Linked DNA regions of Saccharomyces cerevisiae S288C. Changing the gene in region 1 together with any one later gene gives a genetic interaction. Each region holds a gene or a part of one and is shown on either strand. Other genes may lie near its edges.

Region 1 (4,736 bases):
ACTCATAAAGAGTCACCATTGAGACCAAAAGTTCGGCCATTGAGCGAGCAAGGTGAATATGAATCCAGAAAACTGTGGAAAAAGGTTACAGATGCGTTGGCCGTTCGCAATCATCCTGTTGCGACAGAAGAAAAATTTCAGATTGAAGATCACCAAAGACAGTTAGCCAAAAAACGCATTGAAGATGGCGTAGAATTTCATCCAAAGTTGTTTAGAAGATCAAAGCCTGGCGAAGATCTTGACTATTGTATTTATAAAAATATCCCTGTCGACGAGGACCCTGAGAAGCAAATACGAAGCATATTGCAAATAGCACCTATTTTACCTGGTCAACAATTTACCGACAAATTTTTCATCCCCGCATTTGAGAAAATAAAATCACAAAAGAAGATGATTGAAAACGAAAAGCAGAACCCAGCAAAACAATAGTGTATATGTTGGATATGATATTTGTTGTAAATTATAGATTAGTTTTTTTATATGTTTTTCTTTTTTTTGTTCTAACTATCTGATTGTTCTTTCTTATTTTTATCCAAAAACTTATTTAAGAAAAGCTTTTTATAGCCAAAATGTGCAAAATTCACAGAAGTTAGAAGATCGTTTGAAAATTTCTCAGGTACTATTGGAGTATTATTTATCATTTTGATATGACCACTGTTCTCTTCAAAATTCAGAATTTCATTTCTCCAAGTCAATAAGACAGAGTCCATTTCAATTCTAAGGGTGATATTAAATTTCGTAATTTGCAGAAGACACAGATATGGAGGCCAATCTGCAGCATACGTTCGATCAATCCATTTTACTAATTCCTGAGTAAATGCATCCGCAGGCTGTACTTGAAAATTCAAATCCACTTTATTTATCTTGAACGGAACATTAAAAGAGCTTGTTAGTCTTTGAAAATCACGTATATTATCGGTTTTTTTTTCCTCCTGCTGGCATACCATATATGCTAATGCGCTCCATGAGGAACAATCCTTAACATTTTGAAAGCAAAATCTCTTAGTCAAATTGAAGAGCTCAATTCTTTTATTGTAAGGTAAATTATCGTAGAACCACCTAGCAGTATTCCAACAGTAGTAATTAGAGAAATGTTGGGATCCAGAAGAATGAAATACAAATAAAATATCTGGAAGAACCAGTGTATTAGCATCAAGAGATAAAACGAATAGTTTTCGGTATAATATCCAAAGAGATGACGACTTGTTGATACGATTGTTTGATGAACAAAGAAGCCGTTGAATCAGTCTTACTTCTTTGACCAATAAATCCGGTATTACTAAAACACTGTTGTCCTGGAAGTATCTCTTGAGTAAATCTTCGTGTACATTATATACCGTTTTGTTTTCAGGTGTTGTAAGTAGAAATCCAACAGTCATGTAATAAATATTCTCATTAGAAATGCCGCCTAATTTACATCAATATGTAGAATTGTTAGTAGCCGTAACAATGAATCCAAAATGCGTATTGTAAAATAGCAATAGTTTTTTGTATTTTACCGTTGAGACATACTTTGATCAGAGAAAGTTTTGTTAAAATATGTATGTGCTTCTTGGAAAAGAGATAAAAATGTTGTTTTGAAGATAATTAGTTCTATGGAATGGGCTTTTTCGTCTACGTAGTAAGGGAGAGTAATTGAAGGCTGATTGGCAGTAATGGTTAACCTGAAATCATGATAATCTAAATATGCAGTTATTTTTTCAAAAAATTCTCTGCAAAGGGGAAGAGAAGATTGCATAACTTCAACAATTGTTTTGAGCGTTTCCTTTTAGCATTTTTTTGTTTGGCTTTTGTTTGTTCTTTTGTGTACTTTTCATGTATTTGATCTTCCATGTGCAAAAATAAGTGAAAAAGAGCTGAACTAAATGTAGTATTAAAATCAAGAACAAAACATAAAAAGGAAAGGAGAAAATGGAACAATTGCTTAGTCAAATAATGTGAAGTTATAAAACTGCCGGAAGCCTATAAAAAATATTTTCTTTACTGAGACCGTGATCAGGAGAACGAATGTGTATTAATAGCTGTATATATCTTATAAAGACGAAGCCTATTTACTATCAACGCTATGTAAGTTTGTACTATTATCCTTGTGAAACAAATAATTGGAGGACAGTCAATAGCATCATCTAACATCGTGAAACGAATCAGTGATTGAAAGGAATTAAATGAGCAACGTGCATAAATAATATCGGTAAAGAAAAAAGAGCGCAATGGTTTCATGACTATTCTACACCAAGTTGTTGCGCCATTTTATCTAAGCTGATCCCCTTTTCTGGTATGCTTACAGGAAGAGAATAGAAATACTCTTCGTCAAATTCAACTTCGTCATCTGACCAATCGTTATCATCATCTGAGTCATCGATACTATGATCTCTAAAAGATACCCGCGACCGGTAAGAAAACCCCAACATCATCAATGTAGTAATTGATACTGTGATGGCAGTGAATATGAAAATCCTTTTGTCTAATTGAGATGCCGCCGATATGAATTCACCAGAATCTAGTTCTGGTAAGTGCGGCACTTGCGAAAAGGTTGTAGAGAACAGTGTGGCCTGCTCATTAGCAGCGCCTGGATCAGAAATCTTATCTCTTCTTACTACTGTTGGTGTACCTCCTTCATCTGGTGAAGCGAGCTCACCATTAGCGCTAAAGAGACCAAAATTTATTCCCGCTTTTTTATTCAATCCATCCGGATTAAGTACTGCTACTAACGACTTCGTTGCGATAGCATTTGTTGTCGTAGTAGTCGTGATACTCAAAAACGTCGAAGTTGCGGTACTTGTTACGATTTTAGTTCTTGGAAACCATCTTCTTTTGGCTTTTGTCGACGTGATTAAAGTCGTCCCTGTTTCAGTATCAGTCTTGGTCCTGTAAAACCTGTTCACTGTGGTTATTATTTTAGGACTTTGGTATTCATTCACTAAGTAACGAGTAAAAATTTTCTTTGGCCTCCAAGAACTCCACCTTGTCATATGAATTTCGGTGGCAGTGTGAAATAATGGGGCCTTCGTATTTCGTTCTTTTTTACTGCCACTTTTATCATCGGTATCCTTACTACAGTTTTCAGAACTAACTTTCTTGTTCTCATGGTATTCGATTTTACCTTCCCACTTCTTATCTTTCACACTACAGTCACCGTCGTTTTCTTCTTCATAACCAGTAGCTGGAGACAGAGTTTTACCACTTATCGTTCTTTCGCGCAAATATTGAACTTCATTATTAGCGTCAACCACTTCGAACATGTCAACTGATGATATAGTCTTTTGATTATTGGTTAAAGAGGTTAATAGTGCAGAAATTAATTGGTTTTTTTCGAACTGCAAAGGGTTCCTAAAAAGAGTATTGTTTTGACCAACGAAATAAGACAATTTTCTACTAGAAAATTTGTTGCCTCTAGGTTTCAAAATCTCTCCGTCATCTAAAACTCCATTTGTCAATTGAAATTGTTCAACAACGATCTGCAACTTGTCATACTCATCTTTGGAGGTACAGTAATCGTGAAAGCAGCTATTATTAAGGGAACTCAAGGCACACTGTAAACATTTGCAGTTATCCAAGTCCTCCATTGTTTCATTATTCACAGTAACGCATGACCGACAAAATGCATATTGTTCATCAAAATAACGGGACACGCATTCACTTAAATTTCGTTTCTTCACATGGATCTTGTCAGTAATAAAATCTAGAGAATATTAGTACCTCGGTAAATTTGTTGTACATACGCAACTGGAGAGGAAGGGGGAAATCAGTTGTGAATTGTAACCTGGACATAAGTTAGGATCTGCCACAGTTTTGCTTTGAACCGCTGCGAGAACGCTCCCACCACCACCGGCAAAGAGAACCAGCAGAGCGCTTAGACATTCCAACATTATCAGTATATCTCGTGTGTTCCTGCCTCTTGATGATTTTAGCTAGCTGTAATGTGTAACGAATTATTCCCTTACTGCTTCTTGAGTTAGCCGCCAAAGAGGAAATATAGCCACAAAAAGAACTTACAGAAAAGATAAGGTAAAAAAAAAAAGTGATCTATAATGGGAAAGAAAAATCCAAACTTCTTCAAAGAGTATATATATGTACAGGATATTAAAATGTAATGATAGTAGTAATAATAGTATTAACATAAGCTAAGCGGATCTTGCTGTTTCCAAAGCTTTTCTTGTTGCATCATCCTCTAACTTTTGAATTTCTTTCATAATAGTATCATATTTACTTTTTTGCTCTTTAGAAGTAACATCGTTAACAACATATATGTTTGGTGACGCGTAATTATCAGAAAATGGGTGGATAGCATTTGGCTCAGCTTCTTTATAAGCGAGTTTAGGATCGTTGGCAGATGGCAAAATTTTTTCCTTAATATACCTTTTAAACTGCAAGGGTGTGCTTAAAGTGGTCAGTTCATAATCAGGAATTAGATAGCCAGATTTAGATTGCAAAAATTTGGTGAACTGAAATTTAGCTACCAAATCAGAGAATTGGACGTCCTGGTCTACTTTGCCCAATGTTTTTTCCGTTGCCTGCAATATCATATCATCTAACTGATTATCAGACGTAATCTTATCCCTGGATAACCACTGATTGAATGGCGCAGAGGAGACCGCAAGCTTCAACTCCTTCTGTCTCTTACACCGTCTAGACCCTTCGCCAATAAAATTTTCTGGTATTAGCTCCAATCTGTTTTTGTTATTGGAAGAGGATTGAGAGGAAGCCTCGTTAGTGCCTTCTTCAATATCCTTTAT
Region 2 (8,844 bases), on another chromosome or scaffold:
ATTGTCCTTAGATGCGGAGGCAATTAACCCCATCTCGGGATGCCAATCACAACTTTTCACGTCCCAGTGGTGCCCCGATAATACTCTTTCTTGTTTGCCATTGCTGAAGTTCCAAATCTTCAAGATATTATCATCTGAACAGGTAACAAATTTCGAGTCGTTACTACTGAATGCCATATCCCTAATACTTTCCGTGTGTGCAGCATCAATTTCTTTAACCATACTAAAGTTTGGTTGCCATATCTTAATCATTCCATCTGCGTCCCCACTAATCATCCAATCACTGTCGTGAGAATATTTCATTGTAGTCACAGCCGAATCATGTGCTTGCATGAGGGTTTCAAACGTAAACGAAGATGCGTTCCATAGAGAAAATTCTCCGCTATAAGTTGCTACTACAAGTCTTCTGCCTTCTGGGGTCCATTGGATGGCGGGTATCACATGTTTCACTTTATTCGAGCTTAAATGCGTAAATTTGCTGGGCAAATTTATGACTCGATCTCGACCTCTGTAGGCATTAGGCGGCATTATATCTATTGTGTATGAAGTTTCTGGCTCTACCACTAGGTTCGGTAATCCATGTCGTCTGTTGTAATATAGGTTAATATACGGAGAACTCACGTCTACCGATCGTCTCTGTGTCACATATTTCTTCAGAGGTGGTTGTTGTGACTGCTGAATTTGATTCTGATTCTGGTACTGGTTCTGATTATGCCCGTCCATAACGTGTCTATGTTGAGCTTCTTAATATCTACCCAGCAACCTGTATATCAGTGCTTTCTTTAATTATACTTCCCTTGACAAATCGATACGTCGGCCCTCAAAAGAAGAGGAAAAAAAATAGAAAAAAAAATAGAAAATAAAAATGTCAGTAATTCTAATGATGACACAAATTCAAATAGCAACATTGAATACTGTTTAACAGAACAATTAACCACTTTTAATTAGAAATACTAACAAAGAATTTGTTAACGTATTCTTAGGAAGTAAAGTACTTCAATTATTGCTAGAAATGACTGCTCAGATTCCGTATCAACATAGCTCGGGATACATCTCTCATTTTCACAATAATGAGCTTGATGCAGGCAGGGGAAGGGATTATAATGTAACCATTAAGTATCTAGATGATAAAGAAGAAAATATAGAAGGCCAAGCAGCAAAGATTAGTCACAATGCGAGTCTGCATATTCCCGTTTTATTGTGCTTGGTAATCTCGCTTGGTGGCTTTATTTTTGGATGGGACATTGGAACCATCGGTGGAATGACAAATATGGTTAGCTTTCAAGAAAAATTTGGCACAACTAATATTATCCATGACGATGAAACAATTTTTGTATCTACTAAGAAACTTACTGATCTGCAAATAGGCCTAATTATCAGTATTTTTAACATCAGTTGTGGCGTAGGGGCTTTAACTCTGTCAAAAATCGGTGATTGGATTGGTAGGAAAGGTGGTATATGGTTTGCCTTAGTAGTGTACTGCATCGGTATAACCATTCAAATTCTCTCCTATGGAAGGTGGTATTTTTTGACATTGGGAAGAGCCGTAACGGGAATCGGTGTGGGAGTAACCACTGTCTTGGTGCCAATGTTTCTCTCCGAGAATTCTCCACTAAAAATCAGAGGCTCCATGGTATCTACGTATCAATTGATTGTAACATTTGGCATACTAATGGGAAACATTTTAAATTTCATATGCGAAAGATGTTATAAAGATCCTACACAAAATATAGCCTGGCAATTGCCATTGTTCTTGGGATACATTTGGGCAATTATAATTGGAATGTCACTTGTTTACGTTCCTGAATCTCCACAGTACTTGGCAAAAATCAAAAATGATGTGCCCTCTGCTAAATACTCTTTTGCGAGGATGAATGGCATCCCTGCGACGGATAGCATGGTAATTGAATTCATCGATGATTTGCTGGAAAATAACTATAATAATGAGGAAACTAACAACGAATCAAAAAAGCAAAGCTTAGTTAAAAGAAACACATTTGAATTTATTATGGGAAAGCCAAAGTTATGGTTGAGACTGATTATTGGTATGATGATAATGGCATTTCAACAGCTGTCCGGAATAAATTATTTCTTTTATTACGGAACGTCTGTTTTCAAAGGTGTCGGGATTAAGGATCCTTATATTACTTCAATCATACTGTCAAGTGTTAACTTCCTTTCTACGATATTAGGCATATATTACGTGGAGAAATGGGGCCACAAGACATGTTTATTATATGGTTCAACAAATTTATTATTTTATATGATGACATATGCTACTGTGGGGACATTTGGAAGAGAAACGGACTTCTCAAATATTGTTTTAATTATCGTGACTTGTTGTTTTATTTTTTGGTTTGCAATAACATTGGGCCCAGTTACATTTGTACTAGTGTCCGAATTGTTCCCTCTAAGAACGAGGGCCATATCAATGGCTATTTGCACATTTATCAATTGGATGTTCAATTTCTTAATATCACTTTTAACACCAATGATTGTATCCAAAATTGATTTCAAACTAGGATACATATTTGCTGCTTGCCTATTAGCGTTGATAATATTCAGTTGGATACTAGTTCCTGAAACGAGGAAAAAGAATGAGCAAGAGATCAATAAAATATTTGAACCGGAGTAGATATTACATAATATAAATAGAAGAAGTAGCAAAGTGCAGTTTTTTTTTCCATAATAAATAACCATCAGTAACTAAGTGGCCGTGAGGACTGACCACATTTTCTTTACATACAGTAAAGTAAATAAATCTATCAAATATTTTGATTATTACTTTTAGATAAAACCCTTCTCTATTAGAAAATCTCTTATTATATCCCAGTACCCATCTTGAATAATAGTATCATTGTGTGAACCAAGTGGAAATTCGAAAATCTTTTTGTTCGAACTAGGACATGTTTCGTACAGTTTCCTCATGTGGAAGGGTGGAACGATTTCATCTTTTAATCCACTTAAAAACAAGAATGGCGTCTCTGAACTACAGCTTCCCATAAGGCCTTCTGAATTCCAGATTTCGTGACATAAAAGCGTAAAGCGTTTCAAAAGGGGGAAAATATATGGGATAACTTTTCGAATACTCAAAAATGTATTCTCCAGTATAACGCCATCGCATAGATCCCGAAATTTTGAAGCAATGTAAAGAGCATTAGCACCACCTAGAGATCTACCATACAATACTAGTTTTCTCTTTGAATGGAAAGAATCCGTTGACAAATGCGATATGACACAATCAGCGTCCAATTTCAAACCCTTTTCGCTGGGTGAACCTTCTGAGTTACCATAACCACGATACGAATAAATAAATACACTCATTCCAAACTGACGATAGAAAATGTCAATTATTAGTATAAAGTATCCAATATTACCGGCATTGGGACATAAGATCAACACAGTACTTGTTGAGTTTTCATTCTTGATATCCCATGCCTCGAGTTTAATGTGGTCTTGTGTAATTAGGGTTAGCTTTTCATAAGGGATTCCACGGGAATCAGGAGTGTCAACATGATTCCTGGCGCCTTGAGCCCATGATGGGTAGACTAGGCGATTTTGGTAGTGATAAAGGGTCGCAACCGATATTGTTGTTAGCGCTACCAAGCCACCCAAGAACATCTTAGAAACTTTCCACAACATGAGACCAGAAAAGGATTCTACAGTGCAATTGACGGAGAAATAAAAAAGGGAGCAGGTGTGGGCTTGATTCGAGTTATTTCGAGGAACGCACCTCTCTAAGTATAAGAACAACCCAATTGTGAGTAGATCAATTTAAGAGGTGTTAATGATCGTTGCGGGTAATTAATTAACTAAAGACTATATAGAATAAAAAGTAATAAGAAAGACAAACAATACAAAGATATAAGAAAAAGAAAAATTGGTAGGTATCCAGGTGAAAAGCGGGGACAGTTGCTTTCTACTCCGAAAGAGCTCCCTGGAAGTAGAATCCTACAACAATAATGATATATAGTAATATCAACATGGAACCCTTGAAATAGTTACTTTTACCCTCAGCATACAAATAGGTGAACATGAAAACACTCGTCATAGCACCAAATATGTCCCAACGGGGAAAGACTAATGGGAACATCTGTGTTCTGATATTAATCATCGACTTTTTAACATTCCACGTATAGAAAATGGAATAAATGACTAAGGATGGGATTTGTAAAAGACAAACCTGTAAAGCATAAGCACTACCGATTTCCATTGATAACGCTACATTACCATGGATGGCAAATGAAATGGCATTCAAAAACTCTGTCGTATTGGGGATCAGAGCAAAAATGGTGAGACCTAGAAACTTTGGATTCAAGGAGGGAATATCTTCTAGGACAGCATCAACACAGGAAACAAGGATTTCTGCAATTATTGCGTACAGGAGCGTAGACATAAGTAAAATACAAGTAGACTTGCTTCTTGACCAATTGGGTGCATCGTGAGAATTTTGTTCCTGTTGTTCTGGTGCGGTCGAGGTTGGGTCCGCAATAGGCAATTGCCAAATCATCTTTGCATGTGTTCTAAGGGTGAACCACAAGCCAATGATATAAGCACAGAAGAGAACAATGGCACAAGATATGGACATAGGTTGAATAACATGAGTGAATAAACGGTTGAACTTCAGGGGAGGATGCGAGAAAGTACAGTCACGGTCGTTAGCACCGTCTGCACAGTTTACCGAGTAGCCGCCATATATCTCGTATAAAACGGTGGGGACAAACATTACAATCATGGAAAATATTAACAATGCGGAAGAGACACCAGCGCTAGCAGGGTTGTATCTTTGTGTTTTCCTATTTAGAGCACCACCGCACATGGACAGACCTGGTAATAATAGAACGGCACCTAGAATGGAACCAATCATGGATCCTTCCACTAGAAGACCCTTTTTTTGTTGCAATGCAACGCAGTACAAGAAAATTTCCACAATGGTCGAGAAAAATGCATTAATGACAGCACCGACACCCATGGAAGTTTGAGCAGAGATCGATGCGACTGCTTGTCCAATGTAAAATGCTAGTGGGATGGTGGATGTCAAACAAAGAATGAATATTGAGGATTCGTATGTGAACCACGTTTTCCAATGCAGGAAATTTTTCAAAACATAAAAGTCAAAAATTGTAAAGAAAACGATGGATATTAAATTCACAACAATAACATTTGTACCATCAACTGTGTACTTGTAGTAATGCCAGCCAGCGGCACGGAACGTACATAAGAGGATATTTTTGTTCAATTGCTGCTGGGTTATTTCATTTTCGTGCGATTGGGAGGAGTTCTCGACATATTTGAAGCCTAATGCAAGCGGATGTCTTCTGCAATGATACATAATTTGCCAAAGAACATTACTCATGGGAATGGTAAACACCAGGAGCCAGAGGCAAAGAGATAAGACGGCAAGGATGGGTTGCAAGACGAGATGGAAGATTGTATAGAAAAGAACACGACCCCAGCTCCATTTTCCTCTCCCAAAGTACCGTCTTTGAGCCGCTGCGTGCGGAATTTCGTGTCTAATAGAATTATATGATGGATGGTTCGAGTTAAGCGGTGTTGCTGTTGTGTTAGCGGGCGGCATCAAAGACGAAGATTCCGTTGCAGGGGCCGGATGGTCCTCTCTTTGCTGAAACTTGGCCTGAGACTGGTGGAAGACCAGCCTGTTGGAGTATGAAGTCACCCAATTGTAGAATTGCTGCATACTAATACCTTCATCCTTATCTTCTTGTAAATATTGCTCGTCCTGCAACAAGTATACCATTTTGCCAAAAGGCCAAAGGAAATAATTGGCGAGTTTATACAGACACTTGGAGTACTCCTTCGCAGAGTTCGTTACCAGTCCTCCGCCGCCTAGTAAAAATACCACAATAGCCGCCGAGTAGAAGAGTATCGCAATGGGGAAACCGAACAAAATAAACCATAGCACATTGGAACAAGTCACCTCCCAGGTAATAGTCTTCAACTGAGTCTCGTGAATGTCTTGCGCCGCGGTTCTTTGAACTGAACGGTGTTTCTTATATAAAGCAGGCTTCCATATCCTGATACCGAAGGGGTGGGTCTCGTTGATGGCGTCCTGTCTTTCTCGTAAAGTGAATGACTCTGTGGACGAAGCATTAGACGCCTGGTCATTGTTTTCCAAGTGTGAAGGCGACTGGCAATTGATCTCGTCTATAAGTAAATCATGGCCGTGCGAGTCGTGTATAATGAACCGACTGTCATCATTGGCGTCCTCGTCATCATTGTCATCATGAGGTAATTCCCGGATAGATGAATGCATTCGTTTCGGAGAGCTGGGAGTAGCTGTATTTAAGTCTGGCACAGAGTGCGACTTGGAGGATAGCGACTCTAGTGTGGGCGGCAAGTGTTGTTGGTGCTCGTGGTGGTGCAGCGTGTTGTTGCTGCTATGTACGATTGGTGATTGCGAGCTTACAGATCGCTTGGATTTATTGGCATGCAGGGCGAACTTCAACCCTTCATGCAGACCCTCAAGATACCTGATATCGTTTTGGATCTCCTTTGGATCATCGTCCACGCTAAATATTCTATGAGGAGTCGAGGCAGATGTAGTTGGGGTCAGAACCTCCTCTTTAAGACGATGGTCTCCAGAGGTACTGTTACCACTGGCAGAAATGTGGTTATTTTTGGCCATTGCTGCTTACCGCTCTTCTAGCTAGCAGTTATTTCACTTTCATTTACAGCATCCCTCATGTTTATTATCTTCTTTATCTAATATAAATTAGGAACTAAATAATCCCCTCACCGTATAAAGCGACAGTTCCGTGACGGTTACTATTATGAATATCTCAACGGAAAGAGGGCATTAAAAGATCATAATAGTTGGTACTCTCGTATTTTATATATATATATCACTATATTTTAACACTTTTACTGCTCAATTGTGCCATATACTTCGCCTTATTGCGTACATTCTTCACCTTGTATCCCCCTACCTCAGCGTGTATGGTGATATCGCGTTTTTTCATAAACTGAGAATGGGGCTTTTTCTATAACGTGTATTATGAAAAAAAGAAAATAAAAATCAAGAATTAAGCACTTGTATATGCTACAGTAAAGACCTCTTCAACTTCTGCAAGACAATCAAAAAAAAAATGATGCGTCGCACGCTATTACATTCATTCGCTACGCTGCTACTTTCTTTGTCGTTGTGGTCAGCTGCGGTCATGGCAGCTGTGACAACTCAGGTTACAGTGGTAACAAATGTCGCAGGGGCCCTGGTTACGGAGACCACAATATGGGACCCTGCCACCGCTGCTGCTGCTGCTACAACTACCGCTCAAACAGGTTTCTTCACTACGGTATTCACTACCACTAACGATGTCGGAACCACCGTCACTCTTACTCAGACAGTCAACAGAGCCACTATGCTACCAACCACGACGACTTCTACCTCATCTACTGGTAAGACAACCACCACTGTTCCTACCGCAACTTCATCGTTGTCTTCGGGACTGTATTTATCTACAGTTACCACGACAAACGATTTGGGTACCACAGTTACATTGACTCAAACGTTCACACATTCTAGCACCAGTGCTACTTCATCCGCCTCCTCGTCTGTGTCCTCGTCTGTATCTTCGTCTGGTTCATCCTCCAGTGTAAAGACGACCACATCGACAGGGAGCGCAGTAGCTGAAACAGGCACCAGGCCAGACCCCTCCACAGACTTCACAGAACCTCCTGTGTCTGCTGTCACTAGTCTATCTATTGACTCATACATTACCATCACTGAAGGTACAACCTCCACTTACACAACCACACGTGCGCCAACGTCCATGTGGGTCACTGTTGTTAGACAGGGCAACACTATCACTGTGCAAACTACTTTTGTCCAGCGTTTCTCCTCCCAGTACGTAACAGTCGCTTCTCCCTCCGTGGGGTCTATTGGGATGGGTACTTTAACCGGTACTGTAGGCGTTATTAAATCTGCAATAAAGAAAACAGTTTCGCATAATGAGGCCCAGCATCTAGGTATGAGTTCGTTTACTTCAATTTTGGGTGGGCTATTAACGGTTTTAATTTGGTTCTTATAAATTTTTATTCAGAAATAAACACAAACATATACATATATAAGAGTAAAAATAAAAAAATAAAAAAATTTTACAGGGTTAAAAATAAAGAAAACCATCACTCCTTTTCTATTTCATATTCCATGACAAACTTGATGCATCAGCAATCTTTCTACCGCCGAAGAGCCAAAACGTTAATAATATCAATGCCATGGCAGCACAAATACAGCCTCCAATCAGGTAAACTATACCTAAAAATGGATTTCTACCGCCAAGGTGAGAACCGTGAGTCAAGTAGATTCCCTTCTTACCATTAAACTCCAATACTGGCCAATGCAGACCGATATCCAACTGGTATTCACCCGCTGGCAAAGTATCGTTTTTATTGATTCTGATCAGTTTTGTAATTTTATCAAAAGCACCTGGCCTCATCCAGTTTTGGAACTCTTCCCAATCCTGAATATCAGGAATATTCGTCTCGTTGTATCCATCTGGATACATCTTTTCCCAATATGGTGGAGGTGCTATCTGTGTATAATTGTATTTGGTTTTTTTGTACCTTTTTTTATCAGATTCCCAATTGATTCCTTTATTTGTCAATGAATAGTTGTTAGACGTATCCCCTACATTTGTTAACTGCAGGGGGAACGTGTCGTTGAACATTGAGTTCGCAATTAGGCCACATGGATAGTATATTTTACCATCGGCGTTCTTAGATAGTGGCTTACAATTTATACCGGTTGCATCATGCACCGTCTCATAAGAGGCGTCCTCCCCACGTATCTGATCTTCGCTAAAAGATAGTACATATCTTCTGTGA

The links. A genetic interaction does not mean that the proteins touch.
Region 2: of ECM9 (region 1) and YNL320W, a mutation in one rescues a mutant of the other (synthetic rescue), as found in Saccharomyces cerevisiae (one study listed by BioGRID).

What each region holds. Positions count from the first base shown.
Region 1 is NC_001143.9:446,299-451,034, forward strand, and holds ECM9 (Ecm9p), read right to left. Parts: upstream 1,739-4,736; coding exon 1,513-1,738; intron 1,409-1,512; coding exon 501-1,408; downstream 1-500. Other genes in the region: oxysterol-binding protein OSH6, read left to right, coding at 1-429; YKR005C (uncharacterized protein), read right to left, coding at 2,223-3,653, 3,723-3,869; mitochondrial 54S ribosomal protein mL50 MRPL13, read right to left, coding at 4,125-4,736. UniProt on the Saccharomyces cerevisiae protein: May be involved in cell wall organization and biogenesis.
Region 2 is NC_001146.8:32,498-41,341, reverse strand, and holds YNL320W (uncharacterized protein), read right to left. Parts: upstream 3,643-8,844; coding exon 2,788-3,642; downstream 1-2,787. Other genes in the region: cleavage polyadenylation factor subunit PFS2, read right to left, coding at 1-723; HXT14 (Hxt14p), read left to right, coding at 1,013-2,635; VNX1 (calcium/hydrogen antiporter), read right to left, coding at 3,920-6,646; KRE1 (Kre1p), read left to right, coding at 7,107-8,048; LEM3 (Lem3p), read right to left, coding at 8,154-8,844.